Arabidopsis thaliana: one gene and its partner. The protein of the gene in region 2 interacts with the protein of the main gene of each other region in a pairwise test. Each region holds a gene or a part of one and is shown on either strand. Other genes may lie near its edges.

The links. The genes of interacting proteins can lie anywhere in the genome.
Region 1: the proteins of SAG12 (region 2) and AT5G47590 interact in a two-hybrid assay, tested with the Arabidopsis thaliana proteins (one large-scale study listed by BioGRID).

What each region holds. Positions count from the first base shown.
Region 1 is NC_003076.8:19,296,473-19,301,188, reverse strand, and holds AT5G47590 (Heat shock protein HSP20/alpha crystallin family), read left to right. Parts: upstream 1-2,014; 5' UTR 2,015-2,089; coding exon 2,090-2,144; intron 2,145-2,418; coding exon 2,419-2,796; coding exon of another isoform or gene 2,797-2,882; coding exon 2,883-3,244; 3' UTR 3,245-3,575; downstream 3,576-4,716. Other genes in the region: AT5G47600 (HSP20-like chaperones superfamily protein), read left to right, coding at 733-787, 904-1,244; ASG7 (uncharacterized protein), read left to right, coding at 3,995-4,716.
Region 2 is NC_003076.8:18,610,792-18,616,029, reverse strand, and holds SAG12 (senescence-associated gene 12), read right to left. Parts: upstream 2,792-5,238; 5' UTR 2,731-2,791; coding exon 2,277-2,730; intron 2,005-2,276; coding exon 1,744-2,004; intron 1,597-1,743; coding exon 1,271-1,596; 3' UTR 1,067-1,270; downstream 1-1,066. Other genes in the region: APG7 (ThiF family protein), read right to left, coding at 1-11, 96-307, 588-726; AT5G45880 (Pollen Ole e 1 allergen and extensin family protein), read left to right, coding at 4,964-5,141. UniProt on the Arabidopsis thaliana protein: Cysteine protease that may have a developmental senescence specific cell death function during apoptosis, heavy metal detoxification, and hypersensitive response.

The DNA.
Region 1 (4,716 bases), 690 kb from region 2:
AGTTTCTGGACCAATCTTCAGTAAGAATCAAATAAAACTCAGAGCAACTTAAATTATAATGTGTATGGAGGAGATTAGATGGAAGCTGAATAACTAACATATACTGCACCAAATCAAAAGCAGTTTTCGAATTTTAAAGGCTCAAACACTCATTGGGCCGATGTATGGGCCAAATACACAAGTAACTAACATATACATACTTGTGTTTGCTATGGTACCCAATGATTCATGTCATTTGTTTTCACAAACTTTTAACTCTTTTTTTTTCCTCTAAGCCGATTGAAACAAATTGGGTCCATTGCATAATTTACCTAAAGCTAAGCTGATATTGAATATTAGTTTCTTCCATCAAATGTCAATTGTTTATAATTCATCCCCCGACAAAACTAAATGGGCCGATTCTTAGGCCCATATTAGGTGGTCACTCCGGTTGTGCTAAAAATTGTTCAGAGAAGTCAAAGTCTCCAGATTGATGTCAATTGTCAACACTCTACAAGATCACTCCTTTCCATGGAGTTCAACTAGAAGAGCTTTTCGATCAATTTCACCAAATCAGAAACAATTTCGAATTTTTAACACTCCTTGGGCCGATTAATGGGCCAAATGATAGGTCACTCCAGGCCTTTCCCAAACCCTATAGTCCTCCTCGGCTATAAATAGCAAGTGGAGTAGAGCGACTTTGCTCACTCAGTTTCCTTCCAAAAGAAAGAGAAAGAGCATCGTTTTGAGCAAATGAGTAGGAACATGGAAGTTAACGCAGGCAGTTCCGGCGAAATTCCGTCTCCAAGTAAAGTTTTCATCTTTCACTGTCATTTCTTATAAAAATCAAACCTTTATAGTTTACACGTCAAATCTCTCTTTCTAATAACGAATTTGTGTTTGTTTTATCTTATGTATGTACAGTAAGGAACCGATTTCAGAAAAGTGGGAGTCAAGCGGTGTACGAGGTGACAGAGACGAAGAAATCTTGCGTGACGAGAGTCGACATGCCTGGTTGTCCCGAGTCAGATCTCACCTACTGGGTCGACGCCAACAACGTCCACTTCTTCGCCGACGAACCAGCAATGCCTGAGTACGAAAACGCCGGACGCAAATACGGAGGCTCCATGATTTTCAACCCTGAGGCTTACGACGTCAAGAAAACTAAAGTGAAGCTTATCAACGGAGTGCTCTGGATCACCGTCCCTAAGATCCCAGGCAAAAACGCTTCCATTAATGTCAAGGAGAGGATCCTCCATTACTGATTTAACAACACCTTGGTTTGTGTCTCGTAATGGTACTTGTGTCTAGCGTCTCTATCTATCTATGAACTTTGATGCAGCTACTGCTTTATGTTTATCATTTTGTGGTTTAGTTAAGAACGATCTTGCTTCTATATGTCGTGATCTCAATAAAGAAAAAGTTGTCAGCTTTCTTTGTTCTATTTAATCTTACATTAACCTAGCTATTCGATAAGACTATATAGATCTTTGCCATTATTAAACCGGATTACGAGTATGTAACCTGGACATGTTAATAGATATATGTTGTTGTAAGTAGGGATCAAACTTTTTAATAGCGTTGTCGTAATAATTGGATAAACACTAAACGACGGTTGAAACCTTATTTGATCTTTGATGAAAAAAAAAAAGATAATTGAGAGCTCATAATTTTTTTACTCTTGAAGATTGCTGACGTCAGCGTCGTCTTGTCAAAAATGTTTGAAAATTAATGAAGAGTGAAGAGTGTGGGTACGGTTTTACTTTTGCAGTCATTTTTGTCGTACATAATTACATATAAACGAAAGGAGTAAAAAAAGCGTGGGATAGCTCACAGAGCTGGTGACGTCAGCTTATTCTCTACCGTAAAAAAAATCAAAAGAGTAAAAGCAAGTTTTTTTTCTTACCGAGAGAGAGAGTCGGTGACGTAGGCAAGACCAGTCAAACTTATGCTATGAAGGTTAAAAAAAAGCCAGCTGGAGCGTGCCACGTCACAGTCTGTACCACAAGATGGTGCTTCGTCTATATTTATCAACAGGAGAACAAAACGCCATTTTTACGCAACCTACCTTGAACTAGAAGAGAAGAGAGAGCAAAAAACAAAGAGAGAGATGGGTGAGACAAAGGCAGATTTCAGGGACATGTCAAGAATTCCTAAAGTTCGAGGTATCTCTTTTCACGAGCTACTAGATTTCCCAAGAACAACATTGTTCTAATTTTTCTCGGAAAATATGTGTTTTTTCTAGAAAGTTGTCTCAATTTGTTTACTTGTGAAGTGTTAACATGAACTTGGTACAAAGATTTACAGTTTTTTTACTGTGCATGATTCATGAAAATGAAGCAGATCGAGTTAGTTCCATCTTTGATAAGTGTCTTCCTTTGTTCTCTGTATACTTTTCTTCATCAAGTTTTGATCTTTGTTTACTTATTATTATTACAGAGGGGTTCTACGCGACGAACAATCAGTTTCAGAAAGCGGGTCCAAAGGGTTTCGTTCAAGTGAAGGTTCTGGAGAACGACAATCTCTACGTGCGTGTCGACTTGCCTGGTGTTCCAGACGACGCCGTTCGCTACAGAGTTGACGCCGTGAGACAAAAGGTTGTCTTTTTCTCCGGTGAAACTCTGAACAACGGCAAGGAAGGTGTGCGTCAGTACTCTGGAACCGCTGGGCTTGGCTGTGACTGCTGCGAGATCACAGGCGTGGATGCCAAAATGAAAGATGGAGTTTTGAGGATGATTCTCACAAGGGTCAAGGTTGTGAGCAAGGCTCAAGACAACAACAACAACAAGTGTACTCTCACTGTGCCTCCTTTTACAGGTTCGACTCATTCCTCTTCTCTAAAGTCACAATCTCTTTTGCTGCATCATTTGTTGTTAATACAGTACTCTCTGTTCTTTATTAAGGTCAATCCGGAATACGCTTGGAGGATCATCCGTGTCTGGTGTCTGGTCGCAAGGGAGCACTAATTGGGGTGACAAAAGCGGGAGGAGGGGCTCACTTTGCAGTGGACATGCCAGGTGTTAGTCCGGATGATGTGGAAGTGTATGCTGATGAAAAGGAAATCAGATTCAAAGCTGAGATCAAGGACGTGTATGAACACGATGAGAGCGGTCGAACCTACCTCGGAAGCGTCCAAAGTCCTTTTCCCGCTTTAATTTCGAACAACACCATCGCTTGGGATGCAGAATTTGGTGTTCTCAGGATTGCTGTCATACCTCCTGACGACATGACCACCATCAACAACAAAAGAAACCCTATTGAATGAATGATCTCTCTACCTCTCTTTTAGCTAGTACTCTACTATATTTTCATTTTGGGACATTGACTAGTTTTCTCTGTTTAAGTTGAGACATTGTGTGTGTGAGAGAGATTAGTCCTGCTTTTGTGTTTGCTATCGAATCAAGTGATTCATGTCATTTGTTTTCACAATCTTAACTCTTTTGTTCCCCTAAGCTGAATTCAAAAACAAACAAACTGGATCCCTCGAATAACCTGATTGGTGATGATGATTGCTCAAAACCCCCTAAAGCTGATTCCATGGAATGTCAATTGTTTATAGATCCTAGGACATTTGATCTGTCACTCAACAGTGCCTAATTCCTCAATTGAATCGAAATGGTCATGAAAGGAGTGTGATCATTTTATCAGACAAGTCAAAGTTTCTACTCTTCATCATTATTAACACATCCAGTAACAAAACTAATTGGGCCGATTATTAGGCCCATGATAGGTGGATCACTCCAGGCCTTTTCCAAACTCCACGAAAGCAGGCAGAAACACTTTCTTCCCGTGAGTTTTTCCCGGTTGATCTGCGATTCAACAGTGTCTATCCGAAATTTAGTTGAAATGGTCATAGAAGAGTGTAGTAGAAAGGTTGGAATTTGTGCTCAAAATCGGTCAGAGAAGTCAAAGTTTGCTACTTTTCCAGTCTCTAGAATGATGTCAACAAGATCACTCATTTCCATGGAGTCAACTTGAAGAAGAGCTTTTTCGATCAAATCCTTGAATTCGATTGATGGGTATCCTCGGCTGCGACGCCCATGGCGATTTGAACGATGCAGAGTTCAGCAAACCCTTACCTTCGATTGGTATCTACGTTGCCGTAGCTTCACTCATCTGTGGTCTAGCCATGGCCGCCGATCTTATACACGGCTTCCGACACCGCAAATTCTGGTTTCCCTGTAAGTTCTTCTCTCTCAACGCCACTTCTCTGACTTTCATCGCTGTCGGAATCAAACTCTCTGTGGATCTCAACACTTCCATGCCGAGTCGTCAGGATCAGTTAGCTAAACTCAGCAGCACCGTCTTTGTATGTACTGTGATGGGTAATTCGATGCCTTCTCTGGGTATTATGGACAACAATGATCTCCTCATGAATCTTATGGCTTTAGGGATTCTTGTCATCACTGATGTTGTTAACATCTGTATTCAGTTGGGTACTGGTGCGATTTATGTTTTCTCTGAGGAACATTTTCTGGTCGTACTTCTCATGCTTCTTATGCTTATGATCTTGTGTTTCTCGGCCACCACAGTTCCCACTACGAAAAGAATCTTGGAGAGTAAGTACAATAAGAGGTACGACGTTGCTATGAAGTGTCCTTTGGCTACAGAGAGAACAGTTGCTAAGAAAATTCAGCAAGATTTGTCAAAGTTTTGGATGATGGCTCATACTAGTAGCCCTCAATTCGTGATGGCTCGTTCTGTCACGTGCACTGCTTCTGGTTTCTTCTGTCTCCT
Region 2 (5,238 bases):
TCCTCCCAAATCTAAAATTCACCAACAAAATTGTTAAAACTTCTGCAGACAAGAACCAGTAAAAACCAAGTCACGGAGCTAAGTTTTGTATTTACCTTATTTGCTTCTGCTTTTAGCAGACTTTGTTTGTCAAGTTTATTGAAGCTTTCAACGGTATTGGTGTTATACAAAATCCCAGGAACAGGACACTTATTCCTATTTCCATGACTAGTACTAGCAATCAATGATTGTTCATCTAAAGGCAATGACTCTGATAAAAGAGTCAAATGATTTGAGACTTGTGGATGTCCACATGGTCCATAGAAACCTGAAAATTTCAGTTCCAAAAAAGCACATAAATTCTAAATCTGAATAATCTCTACTAAACAAAACAGAGGCTTTTAAAGTTCTCAACTTTTTTTTTGCTTCTCTAACCTAAACGGATCATAACAACTTGCCCAGAAAACAGAGGATTTTCAAGTTTTCAACTTTTTTTTTTGCTTCTCTAACCTAAACGGATCATAAGAGCTCGAATGCATAGACTCATCGAATAATATATAAAAATCGATGCATTGGATGATTTTTTAATTCGATGATTGTGTGTTTACCGGTGATTGAAATCGGAGAATCATCGATTCCGAGTTTGTCGAGTTTCAAAGAGGAGAAGCTATGCCAGAAACCTTCGTCGACGGAACTGTTCAATGGAGCGAATTGAAGTATGATTGCTGGAGTTTCTTTCTCAGCCATGGCTGATCTTATCTTTCTGAGAGATTGCAATGTTTATTATGGAGGAGAGTCAATGAATGTGAGAAAGAAGAAGACGATGACGGAGAACGGTGAGAAAAAGGAGTCGTGCAAGGAACATGGTCAATCCGGGTCGGGTCGGCTTTATATCCAAGCAAACCAAAACCGGTTTATTTTAAAAAAGTAAAAAGCATTAACCGGACGGTTCGTCTTTTTCCATAAAAATCAAACTGAACCAAATTCGGTTTATTACAGTCTTCTCAGTAAATGGTTAAGAGTTTTCAAACTTCATTTTTTTAACAAATTTTCATTTTTACTTGGTGGAATTTGATTGTGCATATGCTTCAAATTATCCCTAGCTAATACCGTTGAAATTTGAAAGAAACATTTCGAAAATTATCAATCCTTTGCATTACATAAGCTTACAATTTCATAAAATGCATACAACAGTCTAAATACAATTTTTTTACATAAAACAATTCAAATTATTTTTAGACATCAATCCCACACAAACATACACAATTAAAAGCTTAACACGGTTTTGAATTCATATAGTTGGGTAAGAAGCTTTCATGGCAAGACCACATAGTCCTTGTTTATCCTTGACATCTTTTTGAATCCTCATATATCCACTTTCTCCCCATTTTGTTCCCCATGAATTCTTGATGATCCAATACTTTGATCCGTTAGTAGATTCGCCGTATCCAATCGCAGTTACTGCATGATCAAGATACGTAGTGCACTCTCCAGTGAACACACCAGACGAATAGAATTGGAAATCAAAACCACCTCCTTCAATTCCAACGCTAACCGGTTGGTGTGCCACTGCCTTCATCAGTGCTTGCTCATCATTAACCGGGACATCCTCATAACCTATGATATGTGAACGTACATGAGCTTTTTAAGATTCAAAATATGAATTTTATCTAGTATAGTAATGTTTATTAATTTGGATAATATGATTAAAAATCGGTTTAATCTGTTTAATTATTATATGCCAGCTCTTTAACTAAAGTGAACCTGTAATAGAAGTTGCTTTTGGATTGGTCTTTTTGGAATTGCAAGTAGCGTCTTCGCCTTTGTAAGGATAATTTGACTCAGTTGTCAAGCCGCCAGTCGCTTTTATATGCTCAAACGCAGTATCCATTAAACCGCCTTCGCAGCCAAAATCGTTTGTGTCGCAATCAACAAGCTGTTGTTCTGACAAAGATATAAGTTTCCCTTTCTTTATTTGTGTTGCTCCTTCAATAGCCGCAACCGCTGAAAACGCCCAACAACATCCTACAAAAACATCACTCATTAGTGTCACTATCATAAATATTTTCATGTGTCTAACTACATATCTCAATAAAACGGTATGAAACAAAATATATATAACTTAACATAGAAAAATTTAATAAAAATATGGTTATTCGATTCGGTCAGTTACACTATGGATTTGGTTTGGATCGGTTTGTTCACTATGAATTAACTCAAATTGATTGAATACATAAATTTCGGTTGGTTCAATTTGATTTCACTTATATATATATGAATAAAGATTTGAGTTATACCGCAGCTGCCTTGATTCTTGATAGGGGTCACAGCTCCTTTCTTCCTCCAGTCAACAGAAACCGGCAAAGCACCAGAAGAAACGTTTTGGTACCTAAACGGCGACATTTTAGTTTGGCTTTGGCTAGATAATGCCGAGACACCTTTGAAACCAGTGTACATGGAACGAAATTCGTCATTGGTTAAATCAGCAAACTGATTTACCGCAAGTTTGAAAGTTCTTCCGGCAGGAATGCTATTTAAATGTTCAATGCGTTCGACGTTGTTTTTGAACACAACGTAGCGATTGTTTTCCTCCTTCACATCCGCGTAGACACGGCCGTGTTTAGTCATCCACTCGATGTGCCTCTTTTGCATGATGAGTTCATTGTCGAGTGGACGAGAAAGAGTGATGGAGAAACAGAATGATGAAAATATAGCGACGAAGAGAAAGATTTGCATATGTTTTAAAGCCATTGTTTTAGGAAAGTTAAATGACTTTTGCTCTTAATTTGATTACTTCAGAAGGGTACTGAGATGGGGTTTTATAGTGAAAATAAGGTTGATGTAATTGCTAATGTTCACATGAAGTGATTGATCCAAATCAAAGCATTTTTGTTTTACAAGTAATGACTACATTCATTCATACATAACTAAATGATCGTTGATGTTTGATACGTAGCCATTTTAGTCCTACATCAACCTGAAATCAAGTCTTGTTCACTCACTTTGCTCGGATTTTTAGTTAATTTTAGTGGTGGGTTTAATTAGTTTTGTAAACATTTATATTTGATGATTAGGAAGTTTGTATCTAGTAAAATTTAATTTCTCTACTTGTGTACTATAGAGATTTTCGAAGTTGGATATGTGTTGATGATGTTTTGCATAAATATATTTCCTTATTTAATTAATTAAAATTAATATTTAAGAAAGCATTTTTAATTGACATTTCAAAAAAAAAAAATCTATCATGAGTATAAATTATTTGGAAAAAAATACTTTTACATGCTGATACGTAGTTACGTACATGTTTATTTTTCTTGTAGTACGTAGGTACCTTTCATGCATCAAAATCACTAATCACATAAAAACAAGGAATCTTCTTTTGTCTTTTCACTAATCAAATAGTTTGAATTCAAAGATTCTGTTTATTCACAAGAGAACCATTCGTGCAAGTTAAAAGCTTAATCAAATCAAAAAGAAAAATGATTCGACAAAATTAACTAATTTGATCAAATCATAGTCATTCACAACAAGTGAACTTCATTACGCTAAGTATTCTTTTGTAGATAAATCGATATGATTTGCTAAAAGTTTCCTGTTCAATGATGTTTCCCACCAATTTCATCTATCTGAATCTCTATGAAAGTTTCCCTGTCATTAGAATACAATATAAATGTAGCTCTGTAGTTAGGGATAATATAAGAAATATTGAAATAATCATTAGACGACAAGAGGGATACGTACGAAATTGCATTTTGGACTTAAATCCAAATCATATTTGGCTGAAGTGATAACGTCTAAAATACTAAATTCAAAATTGACAAATAACTGCATATTTACAAATATAATGATTAGAATTATTTTATTATAGTGATATAGTTAGTTTTCTTACACAAAGAAGAAGTAAGACATATTCTTGGATCTTCACATGGTATTTAAATAATTGTAAAAACGTTATAAACTTATAATTGTCAACTGGAGTATATAAATAAATAATATATGAATTCTTGTACAGGGAAAAATGCGGTGTAAATACCAAACTTTACGAAGCGTGGCAAAAATGTTATAAAAAAAAAATCTATAAAACTTTGTTATTGTGATGTGAAGGAATCGCCCTAGTCAACAAATTAAATCACAATCACCTCATGAACACAACTGATTTAACTATATCAACTTTTTCTTGAACCAAAGGTACCAAGTACAAACTAATAACGATACGAGTTGTCAGTTGTGTACCAAGTTTTTACTGGCAAATAAATCGACTTGCTACCAAAGTACCAACTAATACGAGTGTCTCTGTTTTGTTAACTTGACCCAATCTTTCTTCCTCGTCTCTTTGCAAAACGCTTAAGCCCAAATATAACTAATATGGCCCAAAATATTCTTGAGAGATCCAAACCTATAACTCGAATACCCGGTAGGACAAAACGCTTCATGTCATATTCTGACACTTTTTAACACTTCATGATCGGTATTTAAATAGCATTTTCATTTCTTGTATAACAACTGAGTTCATATATATACATCATTGATCATATATTGAGTATTGATCTAACTAATTCATAATCAACTATTCAACTGTTTTCATTAAAAAAAACAAGTTTCGTATATAAAACTTGGAAATATTGTTTTTAATTAATTTGAACGTACATTGTTATGGGTTCTTCTAATGTTAAGAAAACACCAAAGAGAGAAAAAAGGGTGGTCAAAAAACAAATTTAGAAATCAATGCTATAATTAAGCTATGATAAACTAATCATTTTTTTATCGAAACGTAATGAAACTAATTTTAAATTTTAACAATCAACGATTTTACTTTTTTGTCTCAGTCTAAAAATAACAATCGGGTTTCTAATATAAAACAAACTCGGTGCTCCACGAGAATAGTTGTCCTCTTCTCAAACATATCTCAACTTATTGTTTGAATATAAAAAGAGATATCAAAAAGAAGAGAAGACCAAAAACAAAACAAAAATCTCTAATAAAAATGGCTTCCAAAGCTATCTTCTTCTCTTTCTTTGTCGTCTCCGCCGTGTGTTTGTCTTCTCTGGCAGGTTTCGCCGCCGCTGATGCTGACGACTTCGATCGTTTCCAGATTCAAGGATCAGTTTACTGTGACACTTGCCGTGTCCAATTCGTTACCCGTCTCAGCAAATTCCTCGAAGGTAACATATTTACGCACGTATATCTATGTTTCTACACATGTATGTGTGCATGGCTAATTTACAACGTGCAACCGTTTCTTTTTAAGAGAATATTTTC